Neodiprion lecontei: one gene and its partner. The protein of the gene in region 1 purifies or fractionates together with the protein of each later gene. This does not show direct contact. Links are inferred from orthologs where the notes say so. Each region holds a gene or a part of one and is shown on either strand. Other genes may lie near its edges.

What was found. The genes of interacting proteins can lie anywhere in the genome.
Region 2: the proteins of rac GTPase-activating protein 1 (region 1) and protein FAM98A purify together in Homo sapiens (co-immunoprecipitation; 3 studies listed by BioGRID and IntAct, with this or other methods). This does not show direct contact. The link is inferred for Neodiprion lecontei from reciprocal best matches to the Homo sapiens genes RACGAP1 and FAM98A.

What each region holds. Positions count from the first base shown.
Region 1 is NC_060263.1:5,500,949-5,509,259, reverse strand, and holds rac GTPase-activating protein 1, read right to left. Parts: upstream 5,458-8,311; 5' UTR 5,277-5,457; intron 5,151-5,276; 5' UTR 5,102-5,150; coding exon 5,017-5,101; intron 4,682-5,016; coding exon 4,479-4,681; intron 4,372-4,478; coding exon 4,217-4,371; intron 4,128-4,216; coding exon 3,713-4,127; intron 3,594-3,712; coding exon 3,424-3,593; intron 3,333-3,423; coding exon 3,206-3,332; intron 3,125-3,205; coding exon 2,892-3,124; intron 2,784-2,891; coding exon 2,486-2,783; intron 2,414-2,485; coding exon 2,238-2,413; intron 2,150-2,237; coding exon 2,086-2,149; 3' UTR 2,082-2,085; exon of another isoform or gene 1,983-2,081; 3' UTR 1,146-1,982; downstream 1-1,145. Other genes in the region: GATOR complex protein Iml1, read left to right, coding at 15-181, 268-436, 523-839, 911-1,111.
Region 2 is NC_060266.1:24,792,238-24,798,747, forward strand, and holds protein FAM98A, read left to right. Parts: upstream 1-2,805; 5' UTR 2,806-3,043; coding exon 3,044-3,081; intron 3,082-3,422; coding exon 3,423-3,789; intron 3,790-3,897; coding exon 3,898-4,188; intron 4,189-4,280; coding exon 4,281-4,579; intron 4,580-4,684; coding exon 4,685-4,982; 3' UTR 4,983-5,033; downstream 5,034-6,510. Other genes in the region: protein MIS12 homolog, read left to right, coding at 546-633, 1,135-1,304, 1,453-1,590, 1,707-1,994; DNApol-eta, read right to left, coding at 6,040-6,510. UniProt on the Homo sapiens protein: Positively stimulates PRMT1-induced protein arginine methylation. Involved in skeletal homeostasis. Positively regulates lysosome peripheral distribution and ruffled border formation in osteoclasts.

The DNA.
Region 1 (8,311 bases):
ATGTTTTTGCTTAGCGCCAGTTTCTCCTTACAAGCACACTCATCTTGATATAGACATAAACAATAAAAGCGATAGAATAGAATGGGGACACCTCAGATATCAGTCATTATTCAAGACGGACTATTCTTACGAATTGGTTGTCCAGTGGGTCGCATCCTCGGGGAGTATAGTTGCTGACCTTGTAAGTTATCCAATTTAATTATTGAAAGTAAAAGAGACGTCGGTGCGATTAATCAATGGTCATCTTTTCGGTTTTGAATCATTCAGATATTCGGGTGGCAACGAAAGGCGCAATTGTGTGGAATACAAATGGTTCCGATACCCAGTGATTTGCTTGCGCTACCTTTCACTCTGAAAAGTGATCCTCTTCGGGGCCCAATCTTCATACCTCTACACACGGAATGTTTGATGACCAACAAACCGTATCTATTCGATGGTTTGTTGAAATTTGAACACGTGGTATCAAATTTTGTTGTATAACAATAGCTATCTGATGTTTCACTTTCAATGTGTTTGCAACAGAGTTTCGGGAAGACACCTACACTCAACGGTTGTTCCTCTTCCAAGAAGCCATAGTGCAAAGGTTCGGTTTTGTACCGTGTCTGGTGGAGGGCACTGAAAATGATCATCAATACGTCCACGTTACTGGCAATGCATTTATTCTCGTACCGTCGACATCTTGTATTCGAGCCAGACCACGAACGGATACGAATATAATCAGACGGATAACGGGCCAGAAACGATATCCAGTCCATCCTGATCAATCTAGTCCGCACGAAGCATATATTACAAGGCATGTCAGTGGGAAGAATAAAGATGACTACAGTATGGACAGGAGGGTCGGTATATATACTTAATGTAAATATTTTCTATATGAATTGATATCAACTGTTCGTATTTTTTTATTCAGGTTGGCTTTTTGTGGTCATGGAATCATATGGTCAGTCGCAAGTGGAAATCGTTATCAACATCAGCGACCGGGGATGAGTTGTTTCAAAAAAAAATTATTCAAGATTTTAGAAACTTTTGTTCGAATGCGGACAACAGATTAAGACAGTACTGGGAGTCATGCTGGGAACTCAAAGAGAAAACGTGTTCCCGAACCGAGTAATTAAGCACATCCCAGTGTTCTGAAATTCAATGGCCTCGCTATCTGTTTTCGGGAATTTATTGTACATTTCAAAATACTATACGAGTGCTGGTTTGCTCAGTTTAAAATGATTCAATGAGCAACTAAGAAATACATATGAAAAAAAGTTGGATTAATCGTGGTAGTTTTAAGTGGGCCTATACAGCCTGAAATTCCTATTCTTGCCGTTACTGTACAAAAGTGAAATTTACAGAATATTAAGAATAATATTAACAATATAAGAAAGTCAGGTTTAAATCTTTTATTTGTAACGTCTAAAGTAATACATTAATTAATATTAATATTAACTACAAAGTTATCCATTTTATTAGACATTTTGTATTGAAAAATAAATAAGTATTTCTTTCGACAGGTCCAGATAATTTGTATGGAGAAAAAAAATTACATTGTGATTAGTGGATTTTTAATTTACACGCTGTCATCAATAGTGATCTGATCACTTGTGTTATAATACTTATGCGTAAAGTTGAACAGAAAAAAAATAGAGCTAAATTGTACACTGATTAAATTTGTAATTGAAAAATAATTATCATTCCAACACTATGAAACGGATTTTAGTCCTCATGAGAAACTAGCGCCGATATGTAAGCTCATATTATCAAAAGTAATTATCCAATTTTAATTATGCCAAAAACGAGCCGCATGCAGCTCAAAGAAGGCATTTCATTTAGCTTATAGCTTTGACAAAATATGTCATTATTTGATATTTTAATTCTAAGTATTCGTAAGATTTACTAGCTACAAAGCAAAAGATCAAAGAAGCTTCAGATGAATGGATGCAGAATTGAAAAATATTATCAAATTAAAAAGTACCTGTTATGTGAGTAAAATTCTGCTGGAAAAAAATTTAAATATACGGTTATTCTAGGCTAACTATTACACCTGTAATTTATAAAAAGAGGATGAAAAAAAGAATTGTAAAGCCATTCACCGTTTTAGTACCCGCTTTTTGATGGTGGTGTCGCAAAGTATTTTTTGTTTTTTCTCATGAACGTTCGGCTGGAAATAAATTATGGATTTATAGTATTTAATCTGTGAATGTAACGATCAGTAGTTGAATATTTTTTATATATTGATTGTAGAATACCTTGAACTGATAGGAGTATTGAAAAATCCCCTAGATGCTGTTCGTTTTAAAAGTGACTCTGTAGACGGAGTGTGTCTAAGTTCCCCAGTTTTCGGTGTTCCCACTCCGTTTAGACCTTCGGAGTTGACAAAATTTGCCCAATAATCTGACGGAATCTTCAACAGACTTTCCACTATCTGCAAAAGAACGCAAGTATTATTACTCTAAAATATTCTGAGGATATTTTGAATCCAATGAAAGATACTTACTGCAACTTGGCTTTTAGTTTCACTTAGCATTGAGTTTGGAGATGGTTCCTGGCAGCTATAACCGACAAGAGTTGGTCCGAATACTTTGGCAAGATTAGTGATCGGCATTTTGCATTCTGGACTGCTCGACACTCGCTGCAAATGGAGAATCAAGAATGCTAATGTATCGCGATTCGGTTGCGGTAATTCCGATATCGCTTGGTAAAGAGCAGCATCAGCATCCTGTTTATCAGAAATGGCCGTCGCTCTTGCAAAATCTGCCCATAGTCCAACTGTGATCAAAGGTTCGCGAAGAGTTCTGAATTAAGATGAAAGAAAAATTGTGAGTAAAATACCCTGCATTGCTCAAGGAATTGATAAAGTTATTTGTTGTGGTTTAATCTTTTTCATAATCCGACAAATGTACCTCAAGAAATCTTTCAAAGTTGAACAAATAGTCGGTATATCAATGTCGGAAAGGTTGGGTGCACCCTTTCCTTTCAAAAATTTGTCCTTCAAGCATTTAACGTCGCTCGAACCGCCATTCACCCTGTATAAACCTTGTTCGCCCATTCCCCTCAGTTCGACCTCATTTATGCAGTGTACCACCAGCGACGGCACCATGGGTGGTATCATGGGGGTATAATCTGCAATTGTACCCTAGGAAAGCAAAAATTGCTCACCTTGAATGGATTTCATATTTTTTTTGAATTGAAAAACTAAATGTTGTTCACAACTTACAGAAATACCACGCAAAGTCGGAGTATTTCCTGCAGGTACGCACGGTAATGGTACTAGGTCTTTACATTCGGCGTGAGAAGTAGCTCTGCACTCTCTGCATTTCAAAGCTACGCGTCCGAATCGAATACTGCAATGATAAAGTTGTAGTTGAATCAAATTGCCGACCACACTTCGTAATAGATAATCAAAAATTGTACCACAAAACATCGTTCCCTCACCGTTTGCCACAAGGAGTGCATACTTCTGGCTTGATAACAGTCTTTGCCGTGAAAGTGTGACCCCTGGACGATTTAATGTTCAAAGTATATCCACCGATATTAGGGCTGGGCTTAAATACACCTTCGGAATCTGAACCGGAAGTCATGATGTCGGCTTTTGGAGCTGAAGGCTGTATGCAAACATATATACACGGATTTTATTCAATGACTAGAAGTGTTTGCTGAATCCACTTTCTACTTTCACCATCCTATTTCATTCAACTCCTAAAATTAAGAAAAAAGGACCCACCTCCACGTCCATCAATGGATTTTTTGCATCCATGTGTGAACTTTTTTGTCTGGAGCGGTCAGCACTTGTGCGATATTTGTGGGGGCTCTGTTTTATTTGAGTATTTGGATCTTCATTTTCATTCCCAGGCTTTGCTTCAATCACAGAAGACGCCGTGATGGGTCCATCCTTGGGCAGAACAACAGTAGTTGTCGCTACTATCCGATCTGATGTATTCAAGTCTACAGCTTTCTGAATGCTGCTGCGCCTTTTCTTGGTTGAATATTCCCCGCTTGGTCTGTGCTCTTTCCATTCCCGTTTCTTTTGATTTTGCTGGAGCATGACACTCGCGTCCAAGTCGTCCTCCGATTTTGAAAAACAACTCAGATCGCTAAGCAGAGACCCGGTAGAATCCAATTCTGCTATTGTATTAAGCCTAGAAAAAAAAGTAACGATGGGTTAAAATTAAGACAGAGACTTTTGAAAGTCTTCTGACTTTCCTAACGATGCAATTTAGACTCTTACTTATCAGCGTGATGCAAGTCTTTTAGATGAACGTTGCTGCTGCGATTATTTAATGTTGTATTATTGAGAAATTGCAACTTTTCACGTGTTTCATCATTCAGGTTTCTACCTCCATCGTGTAGGAACAAGTCACGAACCATGGATATTTGTCGTTCCTGTGTAAATAGAATATTTGGCAATTATATCGAATTTTCATCATTTAATAGATACTTATACATGTTCAGGTATTTTGTTCACAACTAGTTGTTGAATTTATTATTACCAACGAGTTACGTTGATCTTCAACGATACGTCGTCGTCGTTTTTCCTCGTCAAGAAGTCGACGAGCATGACTTAATTTTCTTTCTAGATCTGCCGACTCTAAATGAGATTTTTCCAAAGCAGAATGAAGTCGCTGGCATTCCTGTACAGATGCCAACCATTTTTGTCGCATCTCTTCCTGGTTGATAGCAAAGCGCAGAAATTCTGAAACATTGAAAGATCGATACCTTTCTCATACAAGCATAGACTTTCTCTTAGATTCTGAGCACAGTTGAAACTTTCTAAACTTCGACTGGGTTAAAAGAATGAAGGGCTGAATGAGAGATAAGGGTATACGGGAAGCAGCTATCTCTGAAGATATCAGATGTTGCTGCAAGAGTAACTAGAGCACAGACTCCGCTGATGAATTATTCGTGGCTCTCTGTTAGTGAGAAAAGAATGTTCGTCTCAGAATAAAGTGACGTAAAAATTTATTCCGAATGTATGATCGTGGGGGGTAATTTCTTTGGGTAAACGAGGCGTCGATCAAGTGAGCTAACCTTCTTCGCACGATCCGTTGACGAGTACATTGGTACAACGTACCAGCTCATCGTGAGAGGCCAATATCGACAGTGAAGTTGTCATTTCGACAGCGTGAGGCTACCAAATTGCAGTGGCCAAGTACCAATTTGATCTAAAAAAGGAGAAAACGAAGGATGTTAAAAACTGACTGAATCGGACTCGCTGCCGGCTGTGAGTCTGTAGTTTTAGGCATCGTTGGTCCGAGACACAAGACGAGAAAATAATGGTAAAAACTCACCCTGCGTCCACCAAATTCACTTAACCGCTGTAAAACGCACCAGTTTTAATATATCGTTGTAAATACCGATTGACATAGCTCGCACGCGTTGTTGACGATCTCCGAACTCTTACACTATACAAGATACAACCGCCTAGTTTTGAGTTTGACCGTTTGAAATTCAACTAATCAGAAACAAGCGTCGTTGGCTCGCTTCACACTCCTTCGTTTAAAAGTTTCGATTTCCGCCGCACGGTAGCGCCACAGTTGAAGCCAACAAACGGTGTCACCTCGAATTATTTACGATTACTCGAACTACATTTGCCGCAAGGAAACGGCGCCGTCGAATATGAATGTATATCTCGTCAGGTCGTGAGATGTTTTTGATTAAATACTACCGTGCACGAGGGTGTTTCTATTCAAGTGTCAATAACAGTCTGGTTTATTCGTCGCGGAAGAAGCTCGTTAATCTCTCGATCAATCGTGGTATAATGATTCCGATGCTCAATTGTTTGATGCTAGAATTTTCGGTCTTTCGGGTATCAGGGATCGTCAGAGAGGCTTTCATCTTTTCAATTCGGCTGCGAAAAAGCAATCCAAGCAACAAAATGACACGGGAGACTCAACGTGCTCGCATAAATGGAATAACTGAGTAAGTGTGTATAAAACTTCTCTAAAAGACATATATATGAGTAGCTGTTTATCTAATTAAGAGGCATATGAGTTTTTGCCAGCCCATAAGAATTGAGCGAAGTGAGCTGAAAACAAAAACAAACATTCGAACGCGCAGTAATAACACTCGACTGAACTGCGTATATTATTATCATCGAACGATGCTGTTCGCGTTTCAGGGAGAAGAATTAAAGCGAATCGTCACGTAATCGAGCATCTTGCAGCATCAATTATTCGAAATAGTTTTACCCGCTGGCTCGAGGATGGTGGATCAAATCTGTGGGAGAATAGGAAGTGCCTGCTTAGTGGGTGGCAGTGCGTTATTCAGGTATGATTGAACTCGAGCTCTATTTGTTATGTTCGCATCAATTTCACATTCTTACCCCGTCGCTTGTTTATACAAAATCACTGCTATATGTACCTGAAATACCCATATATCCGGCGGTTATGCGGTGTATCTATACTAAAATGTAGAAAATCCTTTGTCTATTTATCACTTTGTTACCGATACAGTCAAGAATCAGTGAACCGGTTTACATGGGGCTTGAACCAAATTGTTTCTTAGGTCTGCCCGAGTAATATAGGCTATATATTGAGTTGTAAAACATGGTCCAATTAGTAATATGTAGGGAAGAGGCTCGACAAATAGGCCCCTTAAGAAAGGAATAACGTTAGACCAATTTCGACGACGCAATTTTCTTGTCTTCGGCCTAAAATAATATTTTAAACGTTGTCGATATTTTTGAAATCCCATTTGATTGTACAAGGACCCATTTTTCTCGCTAATACCCATTTTGCCCACATCTCCCCCTAAGTGTATACGTATTTCCAGAAATTTCCATCTTCGTGCTTCCCGGTTGTTTCTGTACGGGAAAATCTGGAGCCTGGAGGCTGAGGTTGAATCTACCTTGAGCCGTTCCACTTTGCTGCATGTACGTTTTACCGTATCCAAGGATCCAGCTTCGGTGAGTTTGGCTTTTCACGTATTTACCAGAATATCTTATACCTATGCAGTGGCATCTCTTTTTTTACATCCTGCCTCTGGACGCATTAAATCTTTGACACACGGATCAATGTATCTGCATAATTAACGGGTATATATTGAGGAAATTCTGGATAAAACTTTGACTTAAATAATAGTAGCGACGGTTGCCTGTGTACAGGCGAAATTGATTTCCAAACATCTTGATTGGAATTTGCTAGTAGATTAAGTCCTGTTACCGTGCGTAAAAATTTGTCTGAAAATTCAAAAATTTCATTCACTCTTGATTCGCAAATTTATGAACAATTCCCTATAAAGAGTTGTAAGTATTGCTACTGCCAAAAGCGATTAAGGCTACAATCATCAATTATACCAGATTTGAATGAAAAAAAAATTCGATACGTTCTCATTTTTTAGACTCACTTTACCATTCCTGCAGAGTAATTGTGTCAGAAATAAATTTTAATTTCGCGTGAAAAAATCCCTCACCTTTGTTGAAATGTTGGTGCAGTGTTTTGTGATTCTCGCTTGATTTCTCATGAATAACTTTACAGAGGAGCGTATTTTTTAAGAAATTTTTTGAAATTTTAACTGATAAGTGGAAAGTTACAATCTTAATTAAGGTTAAAATGAATTTAACTGCTTGAAGCGAATCAAGCGATAAATATGGTAAAGGGCATTTTGACGAGCGATAATACAAATACCTAAACCTGTTTGCTTTTCAATCGAAATTTCTATACGACGCCAGCAGAATTTTAGAGATTATCTACATCACGAAAAAGCTTGCGGAATTTACGTATAATGAAAAATAACTTAATAGTTGAAAAATTTGTCCCCTTTTGGGTGAGCCAGCTTTTGACGGCTAAAAGTCAAAATCCGGACTAAGAATTATCAAATAATCGAAGGAACAAAATTCGGGACGATTCAACGCCGCGGTCACTGAAAATTCGCTGTAAAGCAGATTACGTCAGTTGAGTCCAGAAACATCCGGGGTTCCGACCATTCGCTACTATAAATGCAGTGTTAAATGTAACACCGAAGATATTCTATAGAAGTCCACACCATTTTAAGAGCACTTTGTGTAAAGAATCGAACGATTCACACCGATGATATTTAATTTCGCACTAATCGGCGTGTACCTTTATCAACACAGTGAATTTTCTGACAGTGTTCAGAGCGTTGGCCGGCGTCCAGCTCGAAATGCATAATGGAAAATGAAATTACAATCCGGATTTCTATTAGCAGAATGAGGCCCAACACTGGCATCGAGATACAATTATACGAGGAAGGGTATTCCGCTGCAGCACGTTGGTACCAGGGTGTAGAGTCAGTGCAGGGTTAACCTGTAACTTGATAGTCCCAGATAATTAGCTCTGACATGGCGTTATCTGGATCCGGCAGG
Region 2 (6,510 bases), on another chromosome or scaffold:
TATTACATAATAGTAATAATGTTAAATATACTACTTGGAAATATTTCATTGTGTCTCTTTACAATCTAGGACCAACGTCGAATTTCTTCCAATGTGATTACGATACTCCAGCTCTCTTTTGATTTGTACGAAACAACAATCTGAAACAATCTCGCAACAGTGGAACCCCCTCGAGGGAGTATCAGCTATTTCTATTGGTTGAAGAGCGTTCAGACGCTCCAAGCAGCGAATCAAATCATCGAAGAGGATAGTTGTCGACGTCGCCGACGAGGGCCAGTTTTCCGGTTGGTATTTTTTATTCGGAACGCGGACGGACGTCAAGCCGTGGAATTTCGTGAGGACCGAGGGACGCCGAGGCAGGGACGGAGACGCCATATTCACTTGTCAACGGACGTCAATCAGCGATCGAGGAAAAGGAACGGAGGAGGAAATCTCGGGGATAAAATAGTCTCGCGGTCAAGTAAAATCCTGCGAAGTAATCGAGGGCGTATTAAAACACGGCTGTTTCACGCCGCGCATGAATTTTGAGATAAATCTGGAGAGTTATGGCGTCGGAGGAGATGAAGCTACGGAAACGAGAGGAGTACGAGATGCAGCTCTTTGGCTTTCACTCCCGGGCTGCGTACGATGGCAGTAAGAGGACAACGTCACTTCCATCAATTCCTTTGTCAATGCTTTCAGGCTTTATCGGCCTTATCCCGGAACGAATCGATGTTGCAGTCGTCGGGCGAATGTGCTCTGGTTTCATGTGGATTTAAATCATGACTAGAGTCACACTCGTCCAACAATTGTGACGCTATCAACGCGCGTCATCACGCCAAACGAAAATCCTGCCTTTATTCCCACGTTTCGCGTATCAACCGCCAACTGAAACCCTATTTCTCATCTGTATTTCCATTCTGATTGCGATCCGTTCAGTCTCCTCGCCAGTTTCTTTTTCTAATCTGTTATACTTTTTCGACAACTTGTTTCTACTCATGTTCCGTTTCACGTACGGCAGATAACGTCAGGCTCTTATGCGACCTTTCAAGTCTGTTTTTACTGTTATTATCAGCGCGATCTAAATCTTTCACATTCCTATGCTTGTCAGGCTCGCTTCTACGTGTTGAAACATTGGCATTGTAATCGTTTCAGTAAAGAATATAATAAAGGAAGAGGTACGGTCGGTCTGTCAGAATCTGAGCAAATCCATTGAAAGTAAATATAAACTGGGCAGTGAGGAGCTTTCTGTTCTCAGAACAGAGGCTAAGGATTTGGTTCAGACTTATGAAAACAGAGCTGAATCTCACATGGAATCATTGAATGTAATTATTCCTCTACAGTGTCTTTAGTTTCATCTTCTAAGAAATTTAACAAACGTTAAAAATCCAGGTCATCTTGGTCTTAGATTATCGCCACCTCTTCATCCGCGATTGTTGACAATTGTACTGTGAACCTGACATTGTTTTGCAGAACATTGTACGACAATTCATTGCAATTCCTGACAACGTTTTATTAGACGAGGATAAAGGTCAAGCTGTTCAGGTCAGCGAAGATGAATTCGAAGAACTGAAGACCAAGATGGACAATCTCCAAAAGAGAGCCGAAGGGGTCAGAATAAATTTCATGAAAATGTTTCCATGTAAAATACCACTTGGAAAACCTATACTCGTTATAAATTTAAATTGTACCCTTTGTTTCATTTAATCGAGGGTGATTTTTGATAGGTCACAATGTTCAACGCCGCTTTACGCCAAGAACTCGAACTTCAAAAAAGATTCAAGGCCTGCGAGGACGCGATAAACAATGCGAGCAGGGAGATTAAAGATAACACCGTTGTACCAAATTTGGATGACCAAATAACAGAATTCATCCAGCAATCGGAAAAACTTAGAATGCAGCTACCAATTCCTGAATCTCAATGCGAAAGGCACAAATACAATCCACCCTTGGAAAATCTTAAAGATTTTGATCTCGTATACCGTGAAACTTTAATTAATACTGCCAATGAATAGAGCAATCTTACTAAGATGTTATTTGTGGCCTATCAAAGTCTAGAAGAATCTTGAGCATATATGTATGTCTAGTTATATTTTTTTATACACAATTAGGTCATTAGATTTTTTTCAATAAAACTATCTGTTAAATCCTGGTTAATTTCATTTCCGAGTTAGCGAGTTGTCGCATGAAAAACATAAACTTAAACTTTGCGCTATCTTGATTATGCTACGCAAAGGTTGTTGCAACAGATAATCTATCAGCTGAGTTCGAACCTCTTGCAGTTTCAAGTTAAAAAATAATCGTAGTCCTTCAAAGAAACAGTTTCATTTGAATTTCTGTGTTACATTGGAATCATTTATTGAGATCTAAACTTGCTTGCATTATTCTGATTCTCGATCGTCAGAATTATCGATTGTATTAATACTCTACGATTTGTTTCCAATTATTATTGCTTTTGTCAGAATAGTTACCCATATTTAATTCAAGTCTTAACGTTATCGAGTTGATCCATCTACTATCCATTTGAGACTTCCCCGAATTTTTGTTCTCTTCGTTGTTTTCCTTTGAGCTATTATAAGATACACGAAATAATTTTATTTCTACGTATTCAGTACAAACTAATGTATAAAGTCACATCTTTTAGCCATGCCATATTGTTCACAACTCATCATCAACATGTCTGTTTACCAACGTTAAATATTAAATGATTAAATACACATGTTGATGCTCGATTGTTTCTAGAACGTTCGATTGGATTAGCAGATAATACCATTTGAAAATCATGTATTATCGAGTCGTCGAGTTCAGTCTATTTCTAATTTCACCGAATCGAGGGATTTCCGATGTCGTGAATTTGTTCAATGGTGGGGATGGCATGTAACATAAAACGGGGTCCATTGGAGATTAGAAAAGCTCGACAGCAGCTTTGCACAGTGTGCTTATTCGACAGTCGTCAGTTCCGACAGCGGACACGGAATTTTGTACTTTCCTCGCATGAACTTAAACCGATTGATTTATTAACATTTCTCCTAAAAGTTCCGTTTAAATCAAACGGCCAGTGCCAATGGAAACCGATTTGTTACAGAATCTGCAAGACGTTGGGTATGTGGGCAAGTTTTATAGGTTACACCAGTTACCGGCTGATGCAAAGCATTGCCGATTACTAACTTCACATGTGCAATATTTTAGGCTACTTTTTTGAGTAAGGAAACAAAGCTACTGAGTTTCCTCAGAAAATCAGCCTAATATGTTCGAAGTTATGAGGATGTTCAATATTATAAAAAAATTATTGGATAATCATATAGCCGAAAAAGATACCCAAACTTGAAGCTCCGAATTAAAGTAACGTTCACAATGTTATTTGTAAGATAATCAGCAAGTTTGTAAAGAGGATTTTGAACTCGCGTAAAAGATCTACTTAAATTTTGTGCTTGATTCCGCAGGTATAGCGGGGCTCTATCTGACGCGAATGAGTTGTCCAAAGCTTTGAAAGACGGCCCAAAGTCAGTGGAGTTCACTAAGCTGGTGGCGTGGCTGGCAGAAGAATTGTCTGCATTTGGAGAGGTGGATGACTCCGTAAACGCTATAACCACGCCAGAAGATTCGAGCCATTTTCTGCTCGAATTAAGTTCATTTCTCAAGGAATTAGGATGCGCGAATCAAAACCTCATTGGCGGTACTGTGAATCAGAGACTGAGTACAAAGTACGACAGACTCGTTTTACTAGATTATCTGGTAACCGAGCTGATGACCAGCAAGATATTAGGATCATTTAAATCTGACGCGGATCAACAGATGGAAGTAACAATTGTAAGTGTTGTAATTGTTATCAATGTCTAGTTGAATCTATCGATAGTGAATTCTGCTCCGTCTTAATTGGATAACTGTCATGTTGCCATTCTTTATTTTTACTTTCAGAACGAAAGCGACACAGCCAGACATCTCAAAAACATGTTGTTGGCATTGAAGTTTCAAAAACCTCCAGATAACATAAGCGCACAAATGCTGTTCACAAAACTAACTACTAAGTTGAAGGAAGTTGTGGCTCAGGCTCCCCCTGATCTACTCGATACGCCTTTATTTGTGGGCGAGCTATCGAACGACCAATGGGAACGGCTGAATGAACTCCAAGAAGAATTCAAGAACGAGTATAAAACCAGAAGGGAAATGTTACTCAAAAGATTGGATGTCACGGTGCAATCTTTTTTGGTAAAGCATTAAATAACGTCTCACAAAATTCTAGTAAATTTGATGAAATTATCTTATTTTGGAATAAACTAATAACAATCTTAATTTTACAGTGGTCAGAGAATATAAGGTCAAAGGAAGATCAGGTCAACGCATCCTACCAACAAAAACGGAATATCATGTCTCCCGAGCCAAGTGTTTGTATTGCTGATTTACTTGCCGCAAGACGAGATTTAGCCATAGTTGAAAAGACCAGCAATGCTACTGTACGAAAAAATACCAGGAGCCAAGTCAACCAAGTCATTATTGGGGCAGTGCCAGATCGTGGAGGAAGACCTTGCGACCAGCAACCACCTCCACCCGAAATGCCATCTTGGCAAAAAGACCGCGTTGCTGGGCCGAATTCGTCCAGGTAAAACGCGATCTCACAGTATTTTTGTTCATGGATTGGGGTTCTGTGACTTCGTGATACTTGTTTAAGCACATCAATTGAATATCGTTTCAAAATATTTTTCAGAGGAGGCAGAGGCGGAGGTGGCGGTGGCGGTGGCGGTGGATATCGGGACCACAAAGATGCTTCGAAAAATTTTGGCCAAAACCAAGACAGGTTTCAATCGCAGCAGCAATATCAGCAACAGCAACCACAGTATGAAAGTCGTGGTGATTACCGTGGTCATAATCAAGGAGGTGGAGAGTATCACAGAGGCGGTGGAAGAGGTAGAGTGCAAGGAGGATGGGGCGGAGACCGAGGTACAAGTGGCTATCAACGAGGGAATTCTAATCGCGGAAGAGGTCGAGGTGGACAGCACTATTAAGACAGTTGCGAGAAAAAAAAAAACGGCAACGTCTAAAATAGATGTTATAACGTGCCAGATTAAAATTCGAGTTAAACTTAAATCGTTAAATTTATATTTTGCTATTTCGTGAGATCTCTTTTGTTAATTTTATTTAGTTTGCGGTTCTTTATGTTTGATCAGACGCCTCATGGTTGTTAAGGTTGGTTCTTTACAGGTGCAAAGCTTGTATCAATTTTTTTGTGCTGCATTTCATCCTGATTCATAGTGAATTTGTTCATCACGTTTGCTCGAAATCGCGTTTTGTAATATGCTTACGGTTTCAACAACATACGGCACATAGCGTTTTGGAATTACCACTGAGTGAATCCTATGTTGGTTTTGAGGCATCGAATGAGATTTGGTTTTGGAAATGGGAATGGTGTTTTCAAGCATTTAGAATCTTTATAAATAGAGACAGCACAGTTCCCGCGCAGCTTCAGAGAGAGTAAATGGTACAGAATCGCTGTCTCATGAATCCTGTAAACCCCGCAAAGTAAGACTTCGTGAGATTGTTAATGCATTACCTTCATCTCTGTATTTCATCACACAATATTTTATTTCCCATTTAACCTGAACCAAAATATTCACATGGAATCATTAAAAAATATCGTTGATCATTCCTTCGGCAGCTGTGTTAAAAAGTATTTTGTGGTCAACCCAAGTTAAGAAATATCAGTTAATCGGTACTTTGCTCTGAAATTTGAGGTCCACTCTGCACTTATTTTGAGGCATATTTGGACGCCAGAGTTTGACTCTAAGTAAAAGTGGATTGAACCTCTGTTTGCAGTAAAGATCTGATCCAAGATCATTTAGGATAAGAATGTATTTATTAACATAATTGTTATTTATTTCAATTACCTTATAAAGCAGCTCTGTAATGTATATCGCGATTAACGTAATATATGTATAACTGTGCATTCCTAAAAGAGGTTTCAGATTCTTTTCTCCCGCTACATGGCACCATACAAATTATTCATTTGGTATTAAAAATATTTTAAAACTACACATATTTACATCCAATTCTGGCGAGTCTTTCTCACGTAAAAAACGCGGCTATACTTTTAGACCGCTTTTCTGACTCTCGCGTTTCGGGTTTGTTACGTTTTCTCTTCACAGATGGTTTGCCATTCAACTTATCATTTTCTGGAGTAGCTACCGTGGGCCGAGCAACAGACTTATTTAATTCTTTGGACAAGTTTCGCGCAACGTGAAAATCGGAGTGCTCCAAGTACTCGCGCAGTGGAATTAATTTATCGCATTCTGGACATTTTTCCACCAATTCCTCACCGCCAGAACTATCAGCCAATTTCGTTTCATTGTTGAAAAAGGTGTCTATTTTGTTGATCTTCGGTTGGACAGCAGATTTTGCACGAGAGCGCTTGTGATCATTAACTTTCTGCTGTACAGATTTCACTGTATTTACTTTACTTTCAGAGTCCTTTTTCTTTCGACTTTGTAATATTAAATTAGCTTCATTTCGTAATCTTGATGGTAAAACCGCCACGAT